Oryzias latipes: one gene and its partner. Each later gene encodes a partner of the first gene's protein in a complex. Links are inferred from orthologs where the notes say so. Each region holds a gene or a part of one and is shown in the gene's direction. Other genes may lie near its edges.

Evidence for each region.
Region 2: vps39 (region 1) and vps41 share a complex: the UniProt entries of both Homo sapiens proteins name them as parts of the homotypic fusion and vacuole protein sorting (HOPS) complex. The link is inferred for Oryzias latipes from reciprocal best matches to the Homo sapiens genes VPS39 and VPS41.

Annotation. Positions count from the first base shown.
Region 1 is NC_019880.2:24,625,341-24,636,696, reverse strand, and holds the start of vps39 (vam6/Vps39-like protein), read left to right. Parts: upstream 1-3,909; 5' UTR 3,910-4,267; coding exon 4,268-4,340; intron 4,341-4,892; coding exon 4,893-4,958; intron 4,959-5,050; coding exon 5,051-5,115; intron 5,116-5,203; coding exon 5,204-5,246; intron 5,247-5,365; coding exon 5,366-5,460; intron 5,461-6,630; coding exon 6,631-6,729; intron 6,730-6,798; coding exon 6,799-6,891; intron 6,892-7,227; coding exon 7,228-7,411; intron 7,412-8,168; coding exon 8,169-8,289; intron 8,290-11,022; coding exon 11,023-11,143; intron 11,144-11,216; coding exon 11,217-11,343; intron 11,344-11,356. UniProt on the Homo sapiens protein: Regulator of TGF-beta/activin signaling, inhibiting SMAD3- and activating SMAD2-dependent transcription.
Region 2 is NC_019878.2:20,690,868-20,702,045, reverse strand, and holds the start of vps41 (vacuolar protein sorting-associated protein 41 homolog), read left to right. Parts: upstream 1-4,293; 5' UTR 4,294-4,476; coding exon 4,477-4,497; intron 4,498-4,740; coding exon 4,741-4,779; intron 4,780-9,599; coding exon 9,600-9,707; intron 9,708-11,135; coding exon 11,136-11,178. UniProt on the Homo sapiens protein: Plays a role in vesicle-mediated protein trafficking to lysosomal compartments including the endocytic membrane transport and autophagic pathways. Acts as a component of the HOPS endosomal tethering complex.

The DNA of each region.
Region 1 (11,356 bases):
AGACGGCGGCTTCTGCGGTCTTTCCGTCTCTTTCTGACCGAGTTTACAGACTTGCATGAACCCGAGAGGGAAAAACTAAAAACCAGAATAAAATCAGGGGACCTTTTTTTATTAATGTCTCCATGAAAACAAGTAAAGTATCCTAGAGTTCAGGGTTCACGTTGAGCTCTCTGTTTGGCTGCCAGCTGGCCCCCTGGGAGATCAGTCGCTCCAGCCCCACAGGTCTTGGGACAGCCTGGCTAGGTAAGTAAGTAAGTTTTATTTATATAGCGCCTTTCACAGATAAAATCACAAAGCGCTGAACAATAAACAATTTACAACCCAGTAAAAGCAGAAAAACAATCAATTAAATATAATGTAAGCAAAACTAAATTGAAGAAAAATAAACATAAAATAAAACCAGTCAGCTAAAAGCATTTTTGAATAAAAGTGTCTTCAGTTGACTTTTAAAAGAATCGACGGTGTCGGCCACACGAAGGGACAGAGGGAGGGCATTCCAGAGTCTGGGGGCTATTCCCTGGAACGACCGGTCACTTCTGGTTTTGTACTTTGTCTTAAAAATCTTTAAAAGATTTTGATCTGAGGATCGGAGGGCACGGCTGGAAGCGTAGGGACAGAGCAAGTCTGATAAGTATTTTGGGGTCTGTCCATTTAAAGCTCTAAAGGTTAAAACTAGAATTTTAAAATCAATACGCCACTTGATTGGGAGCCAGTGCAAGGAGGATAAAATGGGAGTAATGTGTGCCCTTTTGTCTGATCCTGTTAAAAGCCTTGCAGCAGTGTTTTGAACTAACTGAAGACGGTTAAGAACAGATTTATTAAAACAAGTGAAAAGAGAATTACAATAATCTAAATGAGAAGAAATAAAAGCATGGATAACCATCTCTAAGACTGAGTTAGATAAGAACGCCCGCAATTTTGCTATGTTACGTAAATGATAAAAACAGTTTCTAATTAAAAGGCTGGAATGATGGTCCAAAGACATTGACTGGTCAAACCATACACCAAGATTTCTGATACAGGGCTGTACAGAGGAGCTCAAAGAACCAAGATGCCGGGAAATTATCGGGATTTTGTTTTCTGGGGCAACTATTAGTGTTTCTGTCTTTTCTGGGTTTAGCTGAAGACTGTTACTTGTGAGCCAAGATTTAACACAAGCAAGGCAATCTAGTAGTTCTGTAAGTTTGTGGAGTTCTGTGTCATTGAAAGAGCAGTACAGCTGAATATCATCGGCATAGAAATGGTATGACACATTTTTAAAGTTATTCAAAAGCTTTCCAAGAGGGTAGATGTACATTAAAAACAAAAGAGGTCCTAAAACAGATCCCTGGGGCACACCATGTAGGAGTGGAGCGGTATCAGAAAGCATGGCATTTATGTAGACAGAGAATGTTCTATTAGTCAAGTAGGAGGTAAACCACTTTAAAACAAACCCAGCAATACCAAACTCATTTTCTAATCTGCCCAACAGTATTTTATGATCAACAGTGTCAAATGCAGAGGATAAGTCCAAAAGAACCAAAACTGTATACTTTCCAGAGTCAGCAGCCATCTTATCCCGCCTTCGCCCAACAGTAGCCAGGACGGGTTCCAGAAACCCCGCTGCCCCAAAAGGGCCGTCACTGAAACCGTCTCGTGTCCAGGGTTGAGTCTCTGATTGGTTGCTGGTATGAGGTGACATTCCTAGATTTCAGATTTTTTTTTTTAACTCAGGCCCACCGCGGCCGCAGCCCGATTTGCATTTCTGCGAGACCTTGTCACCGCGCCTGTCACTCAAATCGAGCCACAAGACCTCAGATGGCGTCTGTACCATTGACCTAACATCGAAACAATCCGCCTGCGAACTGTGTTGGGTGTGAACGCAGCGTAAGACTGGGTCTTTTTCTTAGATCTGCACACAGAGCTGCTCTGGAACAGGGTTGCTGGTCCGGAAAAGGGTTGCTGCTTCCTCTTAATTACAGTCTAAATCCATTTCCTGAACCTGAACATTGAGCTGTAAAAAACAAACAAACAAACCCGTTGGTACGGATTCCTCACGTTAGTGTGACACGGCACCAGGTCTTTGAGGAAATTTCACATCTTAAGTTATTTGGTTGGGCTTTCATGAATCTGCATTTATTTATCTTTAAGGGAAAATTGTTGAAAATTATTTTTTTCATGGAGGAAGATTTCCTTTGATGTTGGTTTGAGTTGTCCTTTGGAATCACGATGTTGATGACTAAATATGTTCTGCCAATAAAATTTCTACAGAGCAAATACCTGTCAATGGTTTTTGTTTCCTTATTGTGGATGATCTGTTTGGATACAGAGCTGTGCAGTTCGGTATCAGCTCCATCATTTTTATGATACAGTAAATGTTAAATGAAATCATAGAATAACTAGAGAATTCTAAACACAGTCAAATGCATCCAAAGAAACTTTATTTCTTATATTCTTTTGTACAATACATACACATATTTACACGTCTGATTGCTTGTTTACTCAAATTTCTAATCAGCCAATCAGATGGCAGCAACTCTGTACATTCAGGCATGCAGACATGATCCAGACGATGAAACCGAGCATCAGTATGAGGAAGAGAGGGGATTGAAGTGACTTTGAACGTGACGTGGTTGTTGGTCCCAGACAGGCTGGTCTGAGGATTTCAGAGACTGCTGGTCTACTAGGATTTTCACCCACAACCATCTCTAGGATTTACAGAGAACGGTCCAAAAAAGAGGAAATATCCTGTGAGCAACAAGTGTGGACGGAAATGCCTTGTTGATGTCAGAGGAGAACGGCTAGACTGGTTCCAGCTGATAGAAAGACAACAGGAACTCCAAAAACCACTGGTTCTAACCGAGGTCTGCAGGAGAGCAGCTCTGAACGCACAACACTTAAGGCAGATGGGTTACAGCAGCAGAAGACCACACTGTGTGTCACCCCTGAAAGCTAAGAACAGGAATCTGAGGCTACAATTCACACAGACTCACCAAAAGTGGACAATAGAAGATTGGATTTGTTTTATTTCAAGCACTAGTTGTAGTCATTATATAAAAACTCCCACAGATTTATCAAATTCATTACAGAAATAGTTCAATAAAGTTCATAGTGTCTGTATTGATAACTGACATCTTAGGTTCTTCTATTATCAGACACGGCTGTGTTTTTTCACACACCAAACCATGTTAAGCATGAAAAGGTCATTTTTAAATAAACGTTGATTTAATTTGATTGTGCAAAACCTCAGTGCCTGTGTGGAATGACAGCGTCACTAACTCCATATTTAATGCTAAATAGAAGCTGTAAGTCCAGTGTAGTTGGGTTAAAGTAGTCATGTCTATTTAAAAAAATGTATCCACGTATGTAAAAGTTTGATGCATTATTTGAATTATACTCCCATGAATGTGAGTAAATCCAACGTATTACCAGCCACCTCCGGGCAGAAACTTGAAAGGATTTGTTTTCTTTTGAACTCATCATTTTCTTGAATGATCCACACAAATCCATCAATATTAAAGTGAGGCAGGATACTTATTCTATATTCAACTTAAAATGTTCCAGTTAAGTCTGAAGATGTTTTCAGATAGTATACCTCTGACACTACACATGCATCATCTTTACTAAAGTATACTTATACTCAATTTATTAATAAAATTATTTCTAAGAGTAATGTTTCACTTTTTTAGCAACTTCTCTCTGTGTTTTCTTGCGTTTTTCTCCTCTTGGTTATCTTTTAATTTCTTCATGTTTTTTTTTTGTTTTGTTTTTAAAATTCTCGTGTATTTAATGTTTAGTAGTTTTTGTCCACGACGATAAAACCGCTCTTTGGATCTAAGTAGGAATAAAATGGTCACACATGTTCTAAATGTCTTCTTGAACCAGGCTTCTGCGCCTTTAATGAGTTCCTCGGGATCGCCCAGCCGCTCACGTGACAGTCAGGTGCCCCCTGCACCGCGCAGGCGCACTCAGGAAGTACGGAGAAGTGAACACAAACTGTAAATTTCTCCGCGGATTCGGAGTTTTTTCCGCCCTTTTGTGGGTTTTTCGCAGGAATTATGTCTCCTCGATAAAGTTGCGGACTGCTTTAGCTCGCTTTTATTTCTGTGTCCTCGCAGTTGCTAATTGAGCTAGCAGCTAATGATTAGCTTTATTCCCCCGTAAAAACAGAAGAGAAACTTCGGGAAATTGACGCTGAGTTCGGGTTTTTCCGTGAATGGACGTTGTCTGCAGCCGACCGCCGTGACTGACCCACAGGAGGCTCACGGGGGGGTCTGTTGACTTCAGGATGCATGACGCCTACGAGTCCCTGCCCATTCTGGAAAAACTCCCCCTCCAGATCGACTGTCTCGCCGCCTGGGGTGAGTCAGCCCCCCAGGGCTTTTAGGGGCTTTTGTTTAGTGGGATGTTCTGGTCAGGGGTTCGAATCCCGACCAGGACAGTCTCCGAGTCCTCCAGCTCGATGAGCACAAACTTTCTGTTCGACAAACAGGTTTAAACTACTGTTAAGTTAAAAAAATGAAACAAACCAATGTGGACATTTAGATCTAATAAAGTTTCTTCAGTTGAAATCGTATTTTATGAGAAAACTCTTTAGTTTATAAACAAGAAAAATTGATTTTCAAAGAAAAAAACAACTAATTTTCAATCCAAGAATCATCAACTTGTGATTTAAATCAAATGGACTGAGGCAGTCATCCTCTGCTCTAAATAACTGAATACATTTGGGTCTTACAGATCGGAAATACATTTATTGTAAACATATTAAACCTCCTTTGCAGTGATTCTTTTTTAAGATCCAGCTTTAGAAACATTTAGTGTCTGAGCTCTGAGGACCAGCCGTCCAGCATTTGTTGTTGTGGAGGAGTTTTCTGTGGCTTTGGCCCGGTTTGAGCGGGTTTGTGTTCCCTCAGAGGACGGGCTGCTCGTAGGAACAAAACCAGGACATCTCCTCCTGTACCGGATCAAGAAAGATGCTGGTAGGTCGGACGCCCGCCTGTGAGCCCCTGATCCCTGCTGGAGTCCCACCGGCTTTTAAAGGAAGCTCCTCCCCTTTTTTTCCCCCCCTCAGGAACCAACCGCTTTGAAGTCACTTTGGAAAAGTCCAATAAGAACTTTTCAAAGAAGATCCAGCAGGTTTCACTTTGTGACCTAACTTTCACTTTCAATGTTTAAATGTGATTTTTGGATGTTTCTAACTGGTCTAACTTTGTGATGCTTCCAGCTTTATGTGGTCTCTCAGTACAAAATCCTGGTCAGCCTTCTGGGTAAGTTCTCTGCTGTCACAGCTCCATTCCAACACCATCAAGACATTAGACCTTAGTTCTACTCACAGTTTAGTCCTTCTGCTCATGAGCTCAACACCCGGCTCGCCTCTCTCCTGCAGAGAACAACATCCACGTTCATGACCTCCTGACCTTCCAGCAGATCACCGTGGTGTCCAAAGCCAAAGGAGCCACGCTGTTCACCTGCGACCTGCAGGTCAGTCCTTCCTTTTCACAGCGGTCTTCTAATCATCATGATGCTGTTTTTAGGCTACATTTTTTTTAAAAGGGTGTGTTTTTCTTGGATATAGATTCAGCAGAGCAGCAGGAGTTCATTAGAAATTCACCTCTGAGTTGTGGGCGGGACCTGTTGACTATATATGAGAACTGGACCGAGTGACCCCTCCCTCCTGGCGTTCCAAACAGGAAGGAGCCAGAATCCCTTAGACCTCTATAGAGAAACAAACAGCTAATCTTCTATTATTCTAATGGCCAGAATAACTATTGCTCTCATAACTTTTTTTTTTTTTACTTGTTCTTAATAATCATAATTTTTTTCAGGATATTTTTTTCTGTAGTTCAAGTTATTCCAGTTATAAACTGACCAATCAGACGCCTCAATAAAACTTGGCGGTTTTGCATCCAACGTTTGACAGATTTTTGTGTGGCCCACTCTCAAAAAGTAGGGGTGTGGCCGTCCTACCAGCTTACTCCTGATTGGTGGGAGTGGTTGCCATAGGAAGGAGGACTCAAACCGACTTGTCCCAATCACTGCTCACTTATGCCGTCTGGCTCCAACAGATGCGATAAAATGGCGGTTGAACTGGCTTCATGTCATTGGAGCCAGAAGGGAGTGTTCTCTCTGGGTGACATCACTCAGTCCAGTTCTCAGCAGCTGTCAGCGCTAAGCAACCCCGCCCCCTCTTTCCCCTCTGAGAGCTTTTGTGGCCCACCCAGCATATTTTTTCTGTCCCTTTTTTTTTCTTCTCAAACCAGCATTTTTTCGTCTGCTCCTGATTCAAAGCGATTTGAATAAAGAAATACTCAGAAAAGTTACAGGTTAATTTTCTGTATGTGTCCTCCATCATCAAAAAAATGCTACAAAAATGTCCTTTTCACTGCAGTGCTTCTGCGTGATTAAAGCACCACACATCTGAACAATCTGAATGATCTCTATTCAGATTATCTGATCAGATTACGTCTTCTGTCTGGGTAACTCACTGCAGAACAGAAATGCTTCAGACCTTCTTCCTTTTCCGTTTAAAAGAGAAATATTATTCTTCCTTTTTTCTCAAACCCGTGATGAAGCGCTTCACCGTCTGACCGCCAGACCAGCCGGTTGAAGGTCGGCTCATGTTGAGCAGTTCCGTCTCTGTGGCTCTTTCAGCTCGCCGCCTCGGGGGAGGAGCGGCTCCGAATGTGCGTGGCGGTCAAGAAGAAGCTCCAGCTGTTCTACTGGAAGGACCGGGAGTTCCACGAGCTGCAGGTGAGACCAGGTCGGCCTTGAGCGGGACCACCGAGGAGCGCTCGGCTCACGCCCGGCTTCATCTTCCAGGGAGACCTGGGCGTTCCGGACATTCCCAAATCCATGGCGTGGTGCGAAAACTCCATATGTGTGGGCTTCAAACGGGACTATTACCTCATCCGGGTACGTGGGACAGACCCATCCTCAACACCCGGCAGAGACGTCCACAGTCTGAGCCCAAGTGTCATCCGAGCAAAACGGAGGATTTTGTTGGGTTTCACTCACAAAACACGACAGTCATGAATCCAATGATCAGGTGGTGATGGTAAAAGACCATAAACATTGAAAAAGAATCTCCAGTTTTAGTGTAAAAAGTCTCAGCGATTACTGTCGTTTTTTTCTAAAACCGTTCTCTGGGTTTTGACTTCCTGAGTTAAGTTCTACCGTTTGTCTTGAGGTGTGTCCTGATGTGGTTCTGACGGATCCTTTTGGACTCCTGCTGTCTCTCCTGTCGATCAGCTCGATGGCAGAGGCTCCATCAAGGAGCTTTTCCCCACCGGGAAGCAGCTGGAGCCTCTGGTTGCCCCACTGGCTGATGGGAAAGTGGCGGTGGGTCAGGATGACCTCACTGTTGTTCTGAACGAGGAAGGAGTTTGCACGCAGAAGTGCGCCCTAAACTGGACAGATATCCCCATCGCCATGGGTAAGTAAAGGCGTTTTAGACTTTTCTTTGTTTTTTTTGATCTGCTGCCAAACCAGAGTTCTCACCACACCATCACACTCCCACTTCCATGTCTGACTGTGAAACTGTTTTTGGACACTCTCCTTCCAGAAGCATAGTCCAATAGTTTGTGTGTTCTTTTTGCATTTTCTTTCTCCTTGAACTCTCCCATTCATCCATTTATTTTAAAGTCTGTTTCTCACTGTTTGATCATGAACTTTGACCTTTATTGATCAACTAACATCAGGTTTGTTCACGTGAACGAAACTGTTAAGTGTTGAGCTCCAGTTTTCTGCGTCTCTCTGTGTTTTAGGCTGTTGATTGAGCTGAGATGAAGCTCAGTTTAGATCCTGTTCTGGTACCGGGTGGGATCACAGCTGCTGGCCAGATGTGTCTGAGCTCGGCAGGAAGCAGAAGTGAGCAGGAGGAAGTGCAGGTTTCATGCAGAAGACCAGAACGTTTCAAATCAAATCATTTTGTAGGGCAGAGAGCAGCAGCTGCGACACAAACATCGTGACCATGGAGCTGCAGCCCCCATGAATGTTCCGTTAAAGGAAAACTAAACCTTAAACTCTCACCGTCCTCCTCCCAGCAGTCAGTCCTTAGTGGTCCCTGCTGGATCCGGATGGTTCTGCTCACGTTCTGCCCCGTACCACGTTCCCGTTCACCGTCTCTGTGCTCTGAGACGTTCCGCTTCAGAAAAGCCTTGTGCTGCAGCAGCTTTTATTTCTGTTCACAGAGCACCAGCCCCCTTACATCATCGCCGTTCTTCCTCGATACGTGGAGATACGAACCGTTGAGCCGAGGCTGCTGGTGCAGAGCGTGGAGCTGCAGCGACCGCGCTTCATCACCTCGGCGGGGTGAGATGGATGAACCGTGTGGTTGTAGTACCTGATGCTTTGTTTTGGACTAACTTTAATGCCATTTTTTTTTAGAAAAGATCTTGAATGAAACCTGTAGGAATCGTGACAGTAAAACAGCCAGTAAGGGGTTCTGTTCATTAGATGGCCACATGTCAATCAGTGACCACGCCCCCATTTCAATGACTAAATCAAATATAAATCAGAATAGGATGAGAACGTGCAGACCGCCCTTACAGTTCCCATGGATAGACAGAGTAACTATAGACGGCAAAAAAGGGCCAGAACTGTGATGAAGTTGGGCCGCATAGAAGTAGCTCCTGCGGGAATGTTGGAAATCCTATGGACAGTTGGGGCTCCTGCTGGTCTTTGGGGCTCTTACGGGTCGTTGGGGCTCCTGCTGGTCGTTGGGGCTCCTGCTGGTCGTTGGGGCTCCTGCTGGTCGTTGGGGCTCCTGCTGGTCGTTGGGGCTCTTACGGGTCGTTGGGGCTCTTGCGGGTCGTTGGGGCTCCTGCGGGTCGTTGGGGCTCCTGCTGGTCGTTGGGGCTCCTGCTGGTCGTTGGGGCTCTTACGGGTCGTTGGGGCTCCTGCGGGAATGTTGGAAATCCTATGGACAGTTGGGGCTCCTGCTGGTCTTTGGGGCTCTTACGGGTCGTTGGGGCTCCTGCGGGTCGTTGGGGCTCCTGCGGGTCGTTGGGGCTCCTGGTGGTCGTTGGGGCTCCTGCTGGTCGTTGGGGCTCCTGCTGGTCGTTGGGGCTCTTACGGGTCGTTGGGGCTCTTGCGGGTCGTTGGGGCTCCTGCGGGTCGTTGGGGCTCCTGCGGGTCGTTGGGGCTCCTGCGGGTCGTTGGGGCTCCTGCTGGTCGTTGGGGCTCTTACGGGTCGTTGGGGCTCCTGCTGGTCGTTGGGGCTCCTGCTGGTCTTTGGGGCTCTTACGGGTCGTTGGAGCTCTTGCGGGTCGTTGGGGCTCCTGCGGGTCGTTGGGGCTCCTGCTGGTCGTTGGGGCTCCTGCGGGTCGTTGGGGCTCTTACGGGTCATTGGGGCTCCTGCTGGTCGTTGGGGCTCCTGCTGGTTGTTGGGGCTCTTGCGGGTCGTTGGGGCTCCTGCTGGTCGTTGGGGCTCCTGCTGGTCTTTGGGGCTCTTACGGGTCGTTGGAGCTCTTACGGGTCGTTGGGGCTCTTACGGGTCGTTGGGGCTCCTGCTGGTCGTTGGGGCTCCTGCGGGTCGTTGGGGCTCTTACGGGTCGTTGGGGCTCCTGCTGGTCGTTGGGGCTCCTGCTGGTTGTTGGGGCTCTTGCGGGTCTTTGGGGCTCTTGCGGGTCGTTGGGGTTCCTGCTGGTCGTTGGGGCTCCTGCGGGTCGTTGGGGCTCCTGCTGGTCGTTGGGGCTCCTGCTGGTCGTTGGGGCTCCTGCTGGTCGTTGGGGCTCCTGCTGGTTGTTGGGGCTCTTGCGGGTCGTTGGGGCTCTTGCGGGTCGTTGGGGCTCCTGCGGGTCGTTGGGGCTCCTGCTGGTCGTTGGGGCTCCTGCTGGTCGTTGGGGCTCCTGCGGGTCGTTGGGGCTCTTACGGGTCGTTGGGGCTCCTGCTGGTCGTTGGGGCTCCTGCTGGTTGTTGGGGCTCTTGCGGGTCTTTGGGGCTCTTGCGGGTCGTTGGGGTTCCTGCTGGTCGTTGGGGCTCCTGCGGGTCGTTGGGGCTCCTGCTGGTCGTTGGGGCTCCTGCTGGTCGTTGGGGCTCCTGCTGGTCGTTGGGGCTCTTGCGGGTCGTTGGGGCTCTTGCGGGTCGTTGGGGCTCTTGCGGGTCGTTGGGGCTCCTGCGGGTCGTTGGGGCTCCAGCTGGTCGTTGGGGCTCCAGCTGGTCGTTGGGGCTCCTGCGGGTCGTTGGGGCTCCTGCGGGTCGTTGGGGCTCCTGCTGGTCGTTGGGGCTCCTGCTGGTTGTTGGGGCTCTTGCGGGTCGTTGGGGCTCCTGCGGGTCGTTGGGGCTCCTGCTGGTTGTTGGGGCTCTTGCGGGTCGTTGGGGCTCCTGCGGGTCGTTGGGGCTCCTGCTGGTTGTTGGGGCTCTTATGGGTCGTTGGAGCTCCTTTTGACTGCTTATGTTCTTGTTGTCCTTTAGTTTACTTGAGCTAAATTTTATATTGGCATTAAAAGCTTACAGATTACACAGATATTTTGTAGCTGTACCCCAGAGTGGACCCTGTAGTGCAGGTGTCAAACTCAAGGCCTGCAGGCCAAATGTGGCCCTCCATGTCATTTTATGTGGCCCACGACAGCATAAAAGTTTGTAATCTCTTAAAATAAAAAATAAAAATTGGTGTGTATTTCTTCATATCCAGGGGGAATCTGACTTGAAATATCGGATTGGGCTTAAACACTGAGTAACAAGCAAACATATGTTTTATATGCAACTGTAATTGTCACTTTAAAAAGTTATAATAAATAAATAATTAGTTATTTAACATTAAGGAGTGGGTATATTTATTATTCACTACATTTAGTTACATGTATAAATTATATCTGGCCCTTTCAGGACAGACACTATGCTGATGTGGCCCTCAGTGAGTTTGACCCCCCCCCCTGCTGTAGTGATATGTAAACAGGCATCGAATGTTTAGGTTTTATTTTCAGTTTTAGGAATCCAATTAGTTATTTTTCTTACTATTTTGAATCCTGTTGATGTTTGTTCCTTCAGAGTAAGACTTTTCTTCGTCAGAACAGTTCTCAGCCTGTCGTTTCATCTCTTTAGACCCAACGTTGTGTATGTAGCCAGCAACCACTTCGTGTGGCGTCTGGTTCCCGTGCCGATAGCCAACCAGATCCGGCAGCTTCTTCAGGACAAGCAGTTTGAGCTGGCTCTCCAGCTGGCGGTGAGATCCCGATCCAGACATCGTATCTTCAAACAGGATGTTCCGGTTCATTCTTTGTTTCTGTTGTCGAAAGATGAAGGACGACTCTGACGGAGACAAGAAGCAGCAGATTCATCACATCCAGAATCTTTACGCCTTCAACCTGTTTTGCCAGAAAAGATTCGACGAGTCCATGCAGGTGTTTGCCAAACTCGGCACAGGTAGGATGGATGT
Region 2 (11,178 bases), on another chromosome or scaffold:
GTCCATCATTGTGGTCGATGAACTTCTACCCAGAGGGGCCTTAATGTGCCCATCACAGGAATATGCCCCCTCTGATATGACACGTGATAATCTATGAAAATGTTAATCAATAGGAGTAGTTTAAGCTGTCGTTAAAAAACTCGGCCCAACTGGTCAATAGTCATATCCCTGGTAACAATGTCACTAGTCATCATGGTTTCATTTGTGGGGCACTTAAATGTGGGACACCGCGCATCGATGCATCTCTCTGCCCGCCGAGGTAAACACATTTCCCTTCTGTCTGAGCTCGGCCACACTCTGCATTCATTTGGGTTCACCTCTCTCCTCCCACCTCCCCTGCTTTTGAGCTGCTTGATAGGTCCACTGGAGGGCAAAATTAATACCTAATTGAATCTTGCAGTCATCAAAATAATCAATAGTTTTTTATTATTTATTCTTCACAGTCTGTTGACTGTTTGAAAGCTCAGAGGGACAGCGGAGAGCACAGGCAGCCCTGAAATTTCCACCGTTTCACAATGTAATTTTCACTGGGGCATGAGAGTTTGTAAGACCTATAAAAAATGAGAGCAGTGTTTTTTGTCGGGAGGAGGGAAGGGGGGGGGGGGGGGGGGTAAAGAAAAAAATGGGAATCTTTGCCCCAGCAGCTACGATGAAAAATAGAAATAAACAAGCTGGTGAACCTTCAGAGAAGGGCAGGGTCCTTTCTGTCCATCCCTCCATCTTTTTCCCTTTCCCCTTTTCTCCTTATTTCATCATATCAGGAGTGTGGCGGTACCTCTCTAATGCCGGCATTTCTCTTCCTGACAGACTCCAAACAAGTGCTGGGAATGAGATCAGAGCTCTAATCTTGCTCTGGCCTCTGAAGCTCCAGGATAGCAGGGAAACACATCCCTCACCGTTTTACACAGCTGATAATTGCTTCAAAAAGCAAACTTTGCCTATCTGCCATTGCATCACCTCTATTATTATTTAATATAGCTGTAAAATAGACTCTGAGTTAACCAACCTCATGCTAAAATATATAAAAAAGAGCAAGAAAAGCAAACAGGATTATAGAAATTAGATTTTTTGTTTATTGTCCTTACCAGGCTTTTTGTGATTAGTTCTTTTAGATTATTACAAGTTTGTGTGCTGATGTCTTACTGACCCCATCTCAGGAAGGTTGCAAAAATGAGAAAAAGCTCTTGCTGCACCCTCCCCAATGCCTCCCGCTCACCTAATACCCCTGGTGGACAGGCAAACAGCGGTTAGTGGAGAGAGAGTCATCACATATGCATGCTAAGAGCTGCTGGTTTCACCTGTGGTTAAGGGAATTCAACCTGTGACCATTAGAAAAAAAGGGTTTTAGAAACAATAAGTCTGTCCCAAAGGTTTTTGGAGTTCAGTCTCTTAAATAAGAATAAATACATACATTTGAATGGTTATTCCAGATAGAAAGATTTTAACAAAATCATGAATTGTGTATTTAAAATTAAAATGTTAAAATGAATATTATAGTTAAATTTAATTTGGTTTATTTAAAATAAATATCTTATTCAAACATAAGAAAAGTTACATTTAAAGTAATTGGTTTTTCCATGAAAATGACCACTGTTAAATCATAAAAAATGCCTAAAATTAGCACAAACTAATAAATCATAGTTTTTTTTACGTTATTGTGTTTTGTTTATCTTTTATTAGTAATTAGTGCAATAATCTGAAGCTCAGTAAGACCTTTTTTAGTGCCATAAAGTCTGACTGTCTGTCACACATCTAGGTGTGTGAAATTTGTTCTCCACATTTGACCCATCCCCTGGGGGAGCGGTGATCTGCGGACACAGCTGTGCTTGGGAACCATTTGGTGGCTTAACCCCCCAATCCAACCCCTTAATGCTGAGTGTCAAGCTGGGAGGCATTGGGTCCCATTTTTAAGGTCTTGGGTTTGAACCCATGGCCTTCCAGTTACTGGGCAGACACTCTATAACCACAAGGCCACTGAGCTGGCCTACAATAAAAGAGTGGACTACGATAAAAAGTGATATAAATATTTTCTATACTTCGATGTAATATAGCAGTTTTGGAATTTGAAAGCTTCTTGACTTCGAATTTTTGAAACTCCTGTGTATTTTTTAAAAATTATGAGAATACAAGAGTAGATTAGCACAAGAGAACGCTATGTATAATCGTGCATATCATCACTACTTACTTAAATGTTATGCTAAAGGATATTCAATTACAGGTTTCATAAAAAATCCTTAAGATAAACTTAATGACTGATTAAAAGGTCACTACTGAGCATCTGCTACTACATCAATAAGCCTTTCATCCAACAGTCCAATACGGATAATCTCAAAGCAATGAAATGATGTATGTTTATTAATTAGTTGCACTGAGTGATCACCCTGAGATACGGATGTCTAATGTAGTTTGTTGGATAATAATTTGTCTCCCCCTTAGGGTTATAACTCAAACTGTTATCTTTCTAAAAGAAATAAATCATTTTCCTCATACGAAAGCATCACAAAATCCTATTTTCTTTTCAAATTATTCTACTCTTTTATGTGAAGCAGTAAATTTAGTGTAAGTAAATTTTTAAAAGTGAATGCAAGCTGAGGCAAAACTTAAAAAAGATATATATATTTTTTTCCCTGAGCTTGTTGATATGATCAACAGTCCTACCTCTCCTCTCTGCTAAAGCTAAAATGCTCCCCAGTGGACGGTCGGTGGGTCAGTGAGGGCTGAAGGCTATCAAAGCAGTGTATTAAAAGGAGCTCTTTGAAGCTTGTAAACCATGGTGCCCAGCAGCAGGTCCACAACAGACAAGAGCCTCTGATTGGTCAGGTGTGTGTGTGTTTTTGGCTAAATCGATCCACAGAGCTGACATTCTCAAGCATCAAAGCTTCTGGTGCACTAATCTTGCTCCACGTACGCAAGCAAGAGTTGTTTGTGTAATTTTGCCTTTTTTTTTTGTCTATGAGATGCTTATATCTTAGTGCAGCTCATGCTTGCTTAAGATTGTAGGGTTAGTGGACCGCGTTTTAATGGTTTCAAAGGGAATGGACACGTATAGAATTAAGCCCAAGCCGTATTTATCCACCACTAAATAATGCAGCACTATAAAGAGGGAAGTGTAGAGATGTGGAGAATCAGAGGCCTTCCGCTAGATGCACCATTGGCAGCAGAGTGACACCACAGAGATTCACACACAGCTGCTCCTCAAAGTCAGTTTCCCCCTTTCACCGTCTCTGGAGACCTGGACCACATACACACCAGTGAAAGGTGTGAAAATCTGATTTCCCAAAAAGGATCGGTAATTCTCTGTGAGGGTGGAAGCCGCAATCAATAAATCATTGGTAAGCAGATTGTAAAGAAAGAAAAAAAAGAGATCCCCGTTTGGTATCAGTGCATTAGGATTCTCCTGAGGATGAATGAAGCAGGACGGAGGTGTGAGACAATCTCAATAAAAAAGAAGGAACTCAAACCTTTGGAATCCATCTGAACTATGAAATGTCAGTATTGTGACAAAAGAGCGCACTTTAACGTTGAAAAAGTCTGCAAATGTACACAACAAATGAGTAGTTAGATTAAACGTGTATCGTCTTTTCCCTAGCTTTTAACAAAAGACCCCAAAACATCCTTAAAATGGATTAAGCAGAAATGGAAAGGTTTTTTTTAATGTAAAGCAATTTAACTGTCTTATATTTTTCAGTAATTTAATGTTAACCATTTAAAAAGCCATTTATTCCTTCCATATAAGGTAGGAGTACATGATGTGGCACATCTATTGAATGAAAAATGTCTCTATATTCCCTACTTTCCTGTATCCTCTGTTTCTCTTCGGAAAATAGGATATGAAATATGATATTTACTGTGTTTACTTATTGTTTTGTTCTTTTTTTTCCGCAACTACCAAATGGGCCAATGGGCTTGTGTCAAAAATGTGTTCTCATAAAAGCTTAAAGAATAAATTAAAATTATTTTTGACCTACATATAAGGCACAAAAAGCAATATAATATAATATAATACGACTACTTTTGCTTTTATAATTGTATATTAAACTATATTCCTAACACGTGTTTTGAGCTCGGACAGAACATTTTTATCCAGAACTCCTTTTTTTCAGTATTAGTAATTTTAAACTTATAAGGCTGACAATATTCGGTAACTGAGAACTTGAAACATATAAAACTATTTTAATGCTACCTACTTCAGCTGCACTCGTTTTGGCAGCAGACGTCTTCAACTCCTTGCTTGAAACAAACGCTGTTACGTTTGACTACAATACCCAGATTGCCTCGCGGTTTTTGCATTAGTCATGTGATTCAGTGATTCATGTGAGCAACAAGACTGCTCCGTCAGTAAACATCGCATTCTACTGCCTTATTATACGTGCTTTTGCCACAAACATAGTTTGTGTGCGTAATTTAATATGTGTTTCTGCAATTGACACTGATCAAAAACATCTGCTTTCGGAATTTATCGCTATTGGAACCATAATGGCGGAAGTGCAAGAAAAGGTGAGGATAGCATGCTAAAGCTAGCTAGCTTATGATCGTTTTATACGTGTTTTTTTTAAAGAATGACAAATGTTTTGTTAATATTTATGAGATTTTTATTCTGATTTTGATTGTTACCTACAATTCGTGTAAAATTTATTTTAACGAAGGTTTGGGGTTGTTTTAGTTTTAATGATCTTGTTATTTATTTTTCAAACTAGAGAATTTAAAGATCAAACATTTTGATTGTGATTCTTCTTTAAGGATAAAAAGCCAAGCGAGGAATGTACTGATGAGTCTGAGGTAAGAAGCTTAGAATTGTATTATTTTGTGCCGTTTTTTTTTCCTTATTTTATTTACTTAACTTAAACGCTGCTTCAATTTCCTGTTTTCTTCTTTTCTTTTTGTTTTTGTTTTTAACAACTTGAACGTGGAAGTATTTTTTAAGTGTTGCAAAGTTATAAAGAAGCTTACTTTAAGTTTATGGTAGACAAGCATTAGCTGCCAATCACAGCAGGACAGGACTACATTCTTTCCTTTTCATTTTAAGAATAGAAATAAATTAACACATTTCAGAGAAGGGCTGCTTTGAATCTTCAGAATTCTCACATAAAAAAGTTGGGTGAAAAACACATGTATAAATCTTTTAGAAAACAAAATGTCTATATTTTTGACATTCTTTTTGGAGGCTGTTTCAGGACAGAGTCCTCATTGTCATGTTCAAGAAACCAGTCTGAGATGATTCCACCTTTATGAAAGGGCGCCTTATCCTGCTGGAAGTAGCCATTGGAAGATGTAGTCATAAAGGCATGTACATGGTTAGCAACAATACTCAGCGTTGTGGCTTTGTATCCATGCTAGAATGGTACTGTGGGTCCAAAAAAAATATTCCCCACACCATTACACCACCACCAGCCATAACTGTTGATACAAGGCAGGATTGATTCCCGCTTTGACGCCAAATTCTGACCCTACCATCCAATTGTCGCCGCAGGAATGGAGAATTATTCAGCCCAGGCAACGTTTCTCCAATCTTCTAGTGTCACGTTTTGGTGAGCCTGTGTGAGTTGTAGCCTCAGACAGTTTCCTGTTCTTACCTGACATGAGTGAAACCCGGTGTGGTCTTCTGCTGCTGTAGCCCATCTGCCTCAAGGTTGGACGTGTTGTGTGTTCAGAGATGCTCTTCTGCAGACCTCAGTTGGAACCCTGTTGCCTTTCTATCAGCTAGAATCAGTCTGGCCATTCTCTTCTGACCTCTGGCACCAACAAGGCATTTCTGCCCACAGAACTGCTCACTGGATCTCTTTTTGTTTTTTTGGACCATTCTCTGTAAACCCTAGAGATAGTTGTGGGTAAAAATCCCAGAAGATCAGCAGTTTCTGAAATATTCAGACCAGCTTGTCTGGCACCAACCACCATGTCTTGTTCAAAGTCACTTAAATCCCCTTTCTTCCCAGTTTGGTTTAGACTGCAGCCATGTCTACATATGTCTAAATGCATTGATGTGCTGCCATGTGATTGGCTGATTTGCCGTTGGACAGATGTGCCTAAAAAAGTGGCCAGTGAGTGTATAGTAACATTTGTTACTGGTCCCAGCGCTGTTCAGGTTATTGACCAGTTCACCTTATATGTTGCATGTACAGTACTACAAGCAAATATATCTTTATTTAAAAAAAAACAAAATAAGGAAAAATTCTATAACACACCAGTTAAAGTCAAAAATATTTGGTTTGATTAAACTATTTTCTTTAAAATTCATTCAAAAAAATGCTCACACTCAGCATCCAGCTTTCTCTATAGAACTCACACCTTTAAGTATGTATTTACAACAAAAAACCTTTACAGATCAAAGCTTTTCCATTCACTTGCAAAATGAGGGGCAAATTACTTAAAAAGCAACTCCGGCTGGATGAAGCTCGTCTGCTGGACTTTATATATGTGGTTGTAGAGTTAGATAAGTTAATTCTTCTCTAAGAGTTCTGGTAAATCGCCTATCCGTCCTGGGGGAGGATCCCTCCTTCATGTGGGGACCCCTGAGGTTTCTCTGTTTTTTCCGGAATCCGTTTTTTTTAAGGAGTTTTTCCTAAAAGGTCTAAGGGCAGGGATGCCAGTATAGCTTAGTCAGTTTGTTAGTTCATTTTAGTATTTTCCTATTGAACTCTATGTATTTATGATCCTTTTGAGTTCATGTTTCACTTTTGCAATTACCGATACGGAGCCCATTGAGACGACTGTTGTTGTGAATTTGGGCTATACAAATAAAATTGAATTGAATTGAATAGAAAGGTTGGCAGTCATTATTAGAAAACTATTGAACTGAAGATGTTAACCTCATAGCTGAAGGGATTTTAATTTTCCTTTCAAATTGAATTAAGTCCTTTGTATCTTCTGAAGGATAGCCATCATGTATAACTCAAAGGCAGCTGCGTTAGTGTAGCATAATTTTCATTCGCGTTTGTTTTAAAAGCTTTTGTTGAAGTGGACATTCCTATTTTTCTTATCCTGCTAGATGGCGACAACCGGCGTCGTCTCTGTGCGCTCTGCAGAATGTTATCCTTGATGCAGTCCGACTGAATAGTTCAACCTGTTGTATTTAAACTGTCAATAGGCAAGAAAAATGGCATAAATGGCTTCAAGATAAAGGCCAGTGTGGCAGTGGAGAAAACAAAGGGCAACTTACAAGAGATGGGAAAAGTTTTAAAATGGGGATTTTCTCTGTGGGGATGAAGTTTGCCTTTGTTGTTTGATACGCCTTTGAAATCCGTGACAAATGCCCTCGCATCAGAAATCTCACAACCAGAATACACAGGAAATAGCCTAGATATGGCGTTGTTGAGTGGGAAAGGATTGTTTTTGAAAATAACATTTTTTCCACGCTATTGTCCCCCACCTCCAACCCAGTAGCACATAATGGCAGACAATGTTTTGAGTTGATGCACCCTCTGGGCAGCCACAGACTGTGCAGTATTGGTTATAAACCGAATTATGAGTAATATTCAGGCTGTGACTGGCTGCAAATGTTGACTCATGCTGGAAAGTGTAACACAGTAGAATACTTTAAGTTTGCTTTATGAAAACAATAAATTCACGCGTCTCACTGGGGATAAACGGCATTGAGAAAAGATGAAAAATTGTTGTTTTAGGCCTTTCATGCAAGGTAATGAAAATTTGTCCCTTTTTTGGGTATCTCCTACACATATACATGTAAACACTTCTCAAAATAGATTGGTTCTATGCAGAAATACTCTTTCTTGATACAATGACAGAACTCATTTTATTTAGCCAATAGCATATAAAGGTATGAATCCAAATAACACCAGATAATACCAGTTATTTTAATTAAAAAGGTATATTTAAGCTTTAAATGAACATAAAGGTCAGTAACACGCATGTACCATAGTATGAGCATCGTATTGTTTTAAGTTTACATTTTTTAACCAGTAGTCTTTCTCATAGTCTGTTTTCCCTTCTTATCTTTGCCTTCTACCTTTAGATTTTCCACTTTTTTTATGTTGTTTTAGGAGGTAAAAGGACAAAAAAATGTAGCAAAAATCCCCTTGAGAATATTATGGCATAGTATTTTAATAACAGGAATATTAAATAAGTAAAAAAAAAATTTGTATCTTTAATATATTAAATGCTTCCAGTCCATACATTTGTGCTGCTTTGCTCTTTGACATCACATTTTTTAAATCTATTTGTTAATTTATTTAATCTCCTAATATCGGTTTTATTCACTGCCTGCTGCTTATAAAGTGATACACTTCATAGAAATTGTTTATTTCAATATGTCAGGCTTGGATCGTACTTTTACAAATTTCGCAGTTTTAGTTTGTTTAGCAAAAAGGGAGCCGGTTTAGCTCGTGCTGGTTTGCGGCGCCTTCCAACCGTGAAACCAGGGTTCAACTCCGGGCTGCTCCCTGTTCCCTTCTCTTCCTCTGTGCCGGTCCCAAGCCCGGTTTGAGAAGGTTGCGTCAGGAACGGCGTCCGGTGTAAAACATTGCCAAGTTTACCATGCGACTTGTTCACTGTGGCGACCCCTGATGGGAGAAGCCGAAAGAGGAAGAAGAAGTTTGTTTAGCAAAAAAAAAAAGGATCTGCTGATGCTTTTTTGTGGAATTAGTGATGCCATCCAGTTTTATTTGTGGAAAAACAACATTTAAACATCTTTTAAAATGTATTCTATTTCTTTTTTGCCTCATTGACACAAGTTGAAATAATTAAAAATAGGCTTTAATGATCCAATCGGATCCCCTTCTTGATTTATTTTAAAAGTTTTCTCTGCAATCTTTTGAAGATGATTATTCCTTTTTAGCCACAATCTTAAAACCTGCGCCGTTTTCCAGGATATAGTTTCTGCGGGGTGAGTTCATTAGAAATTGGTCTCTTGGTTGTGGGTTAGGGCCCTTGGCGCATAGCAAACCCCGCCCCCTTTCCCCTCCCCGTTGTGGAGCAGGGAGCTGAGTCCTGTGTATTTTATGTTGCAGATGCAATCTTTATCAGACTGCATTTTTTTGTCTGCTCCTGATTCACAACAATTTTGAATAAAGAAATACTCAGAAATGCAATTTTGAGCTGAATTTTCTTTATATCTGTCTGCCATCATCAGATTAATTGGAGTTGTTTAGTTGGCTTATATGAGCTGAGAAGTCCGTGTTATGGACATATTAATAAAGACAATATTTCCTTAGGTGTGGATCTTAAATTCATAAAGTATGCAGTTTAGGTTTATTAAGTGAAGAAAAAGGATCTTCTGATGCTTTTTTTGTGGAATCGGTGTTTCCATCTTGTTTTTCTTGGTAGAAATAGAAAAGATGAACACCTTTTAAAATCTTTTCTAATTGCCTTTTGCATTGATATTAGTTCAAACTGGGTTTTTAATTTCTGAAGCATTCAAAGTCATGTCTTTATGTAATATTTGAAATAAGCATTTAGAGAAAGGGGTCTAAAACTTCATATGTCACATCAGTTTGAAACCAACAGGAAGAGAACTTTTTGCATATTTCAACACACTGCACGGACGTCTTTGAAAGTGTCTTTTGTAACTTCTGTGAAGTGGCTGTGTGTAAATGACTACCTTTAAGAAAGTGTTGAGTGAAAGCCCATTTCCCTCTCCGAACCAGGAGGAGGACAGTGAGGAGGAGGCCAAGTTAAAGTACGAGAGGCTCTCCAACGGGGTGACAGACATCCTTAAGAATGACGCAGCCAGCTGCATGACCGTCCACGACAAGGTAAAGGTGATAATCCCCCCCCCACGCCCGCCGGGGCTTTTCAGTTTCAAGTCCAATCATTTCAGCCAAAGATTTCCCTTTGTTTATGTGTGCATTTGAGAGATGTCATCTTCAAAGTTGGTTTTCATCCCTGCTGCTCAATCTGCAAAGGCAGCCCATTCTTTTCTCACCTTCCTCTGCTTTTCCTCTCAGGGAGGTGCATCAAAAGCCACTATTGTCTTTTCCTCTTTTTATTCCCACTCCTACATATTTTTCACTCCTTTCCCATTTGCTGAATGTTGATATGTTTAAGAGGCACACTCCTCTGCGAGATGCTTAATCGTCGTGGCACCGGCAGCACACTTGCACGCCTGGGTAGAGCGAAAGTCATACCCAGTTACGTCTCCTCACCTGATGTTTTATTAACTGCAGCTGATTTTCATTTATTTATTTGTTTTGTGTAAATCTGCTCCCCCTTTTCTTTTTCCCTTCAGAACGGGCCTCAGCTGAAAGATGAGCGATCCGAGAACATTTTTAATTTTTCTTTTCTCCGTTGTTGTGCACCTTCAGCCATTCAGATGTGGTCACACCAGCCCCCTCCGCCGTGACAAAACTCCCGCAACCTTAAATCACCGGGAGCACATATTGCCTTATGTTGCCTCATATTTTAAGTGTCTGAATCGGAATTTCATTTGAACAATTCCATCCTGATAAATCCTTTTAAAAGTCGCTCCGCCTCACAAGGTTGAACCTTTTATTTATTTATTTTTGGGTTATTTTATTTGGAAGATTGCAGGGGCTCTGTCTGACATGCTCAGCTGTGCCTGTAAATATAAGCATTTCATTATAGACTGCACTGAAGCATGGTGGGCTCGCCGCACATCCACATGCTGCTCCGGGAGGGAGGGGGGATTAGGAGGAGGGCGCCGAGCAGGGACTTGGTAGAAGAACACACACTTAATCTAATGCCAGAAGCCCCACTTTCTATAATGTTTTTGTCCCTGTGGACTGAGGCAAACACACACACACACGTTCAAATGCACACCCGCGCTTTTGCTGAAGCGCGACTCCCAGGAACCAGTTGCTGCTCAGTAGTCTGTTCTGGGCAAGGAGGTGATTGGGTTGCATGCAGAGCATTGAAGAAGTCAGATGTACAGTGCATTTATTATGCTTAAGCATTTTAATTTGAGGAGGGGAAAAAATGCCATTTCACAGTGTCTGCTTTAATAAATAGGGTTTTTCCACCCTCTGCAATTTCACAGTTTTGCCTCCAAGAACACCCAATCCCTTCCCTGTCCTTTTCCTCTGCAGCTCCAGGAAATGTATTTTATCCTCCTGCACAGCCTTCGAGAACGCAATCGGCTGCTTCTCTTTAATTCTCTGCAAATCTTGAACTACTGTTAGATATTTTCAAGTATAAGTTACATTTGTCCTTTTTTTCCCCCTCAGTTCCTGGCTCTAGGCACACACTTTGGAAAAGTTTATTTGCTGG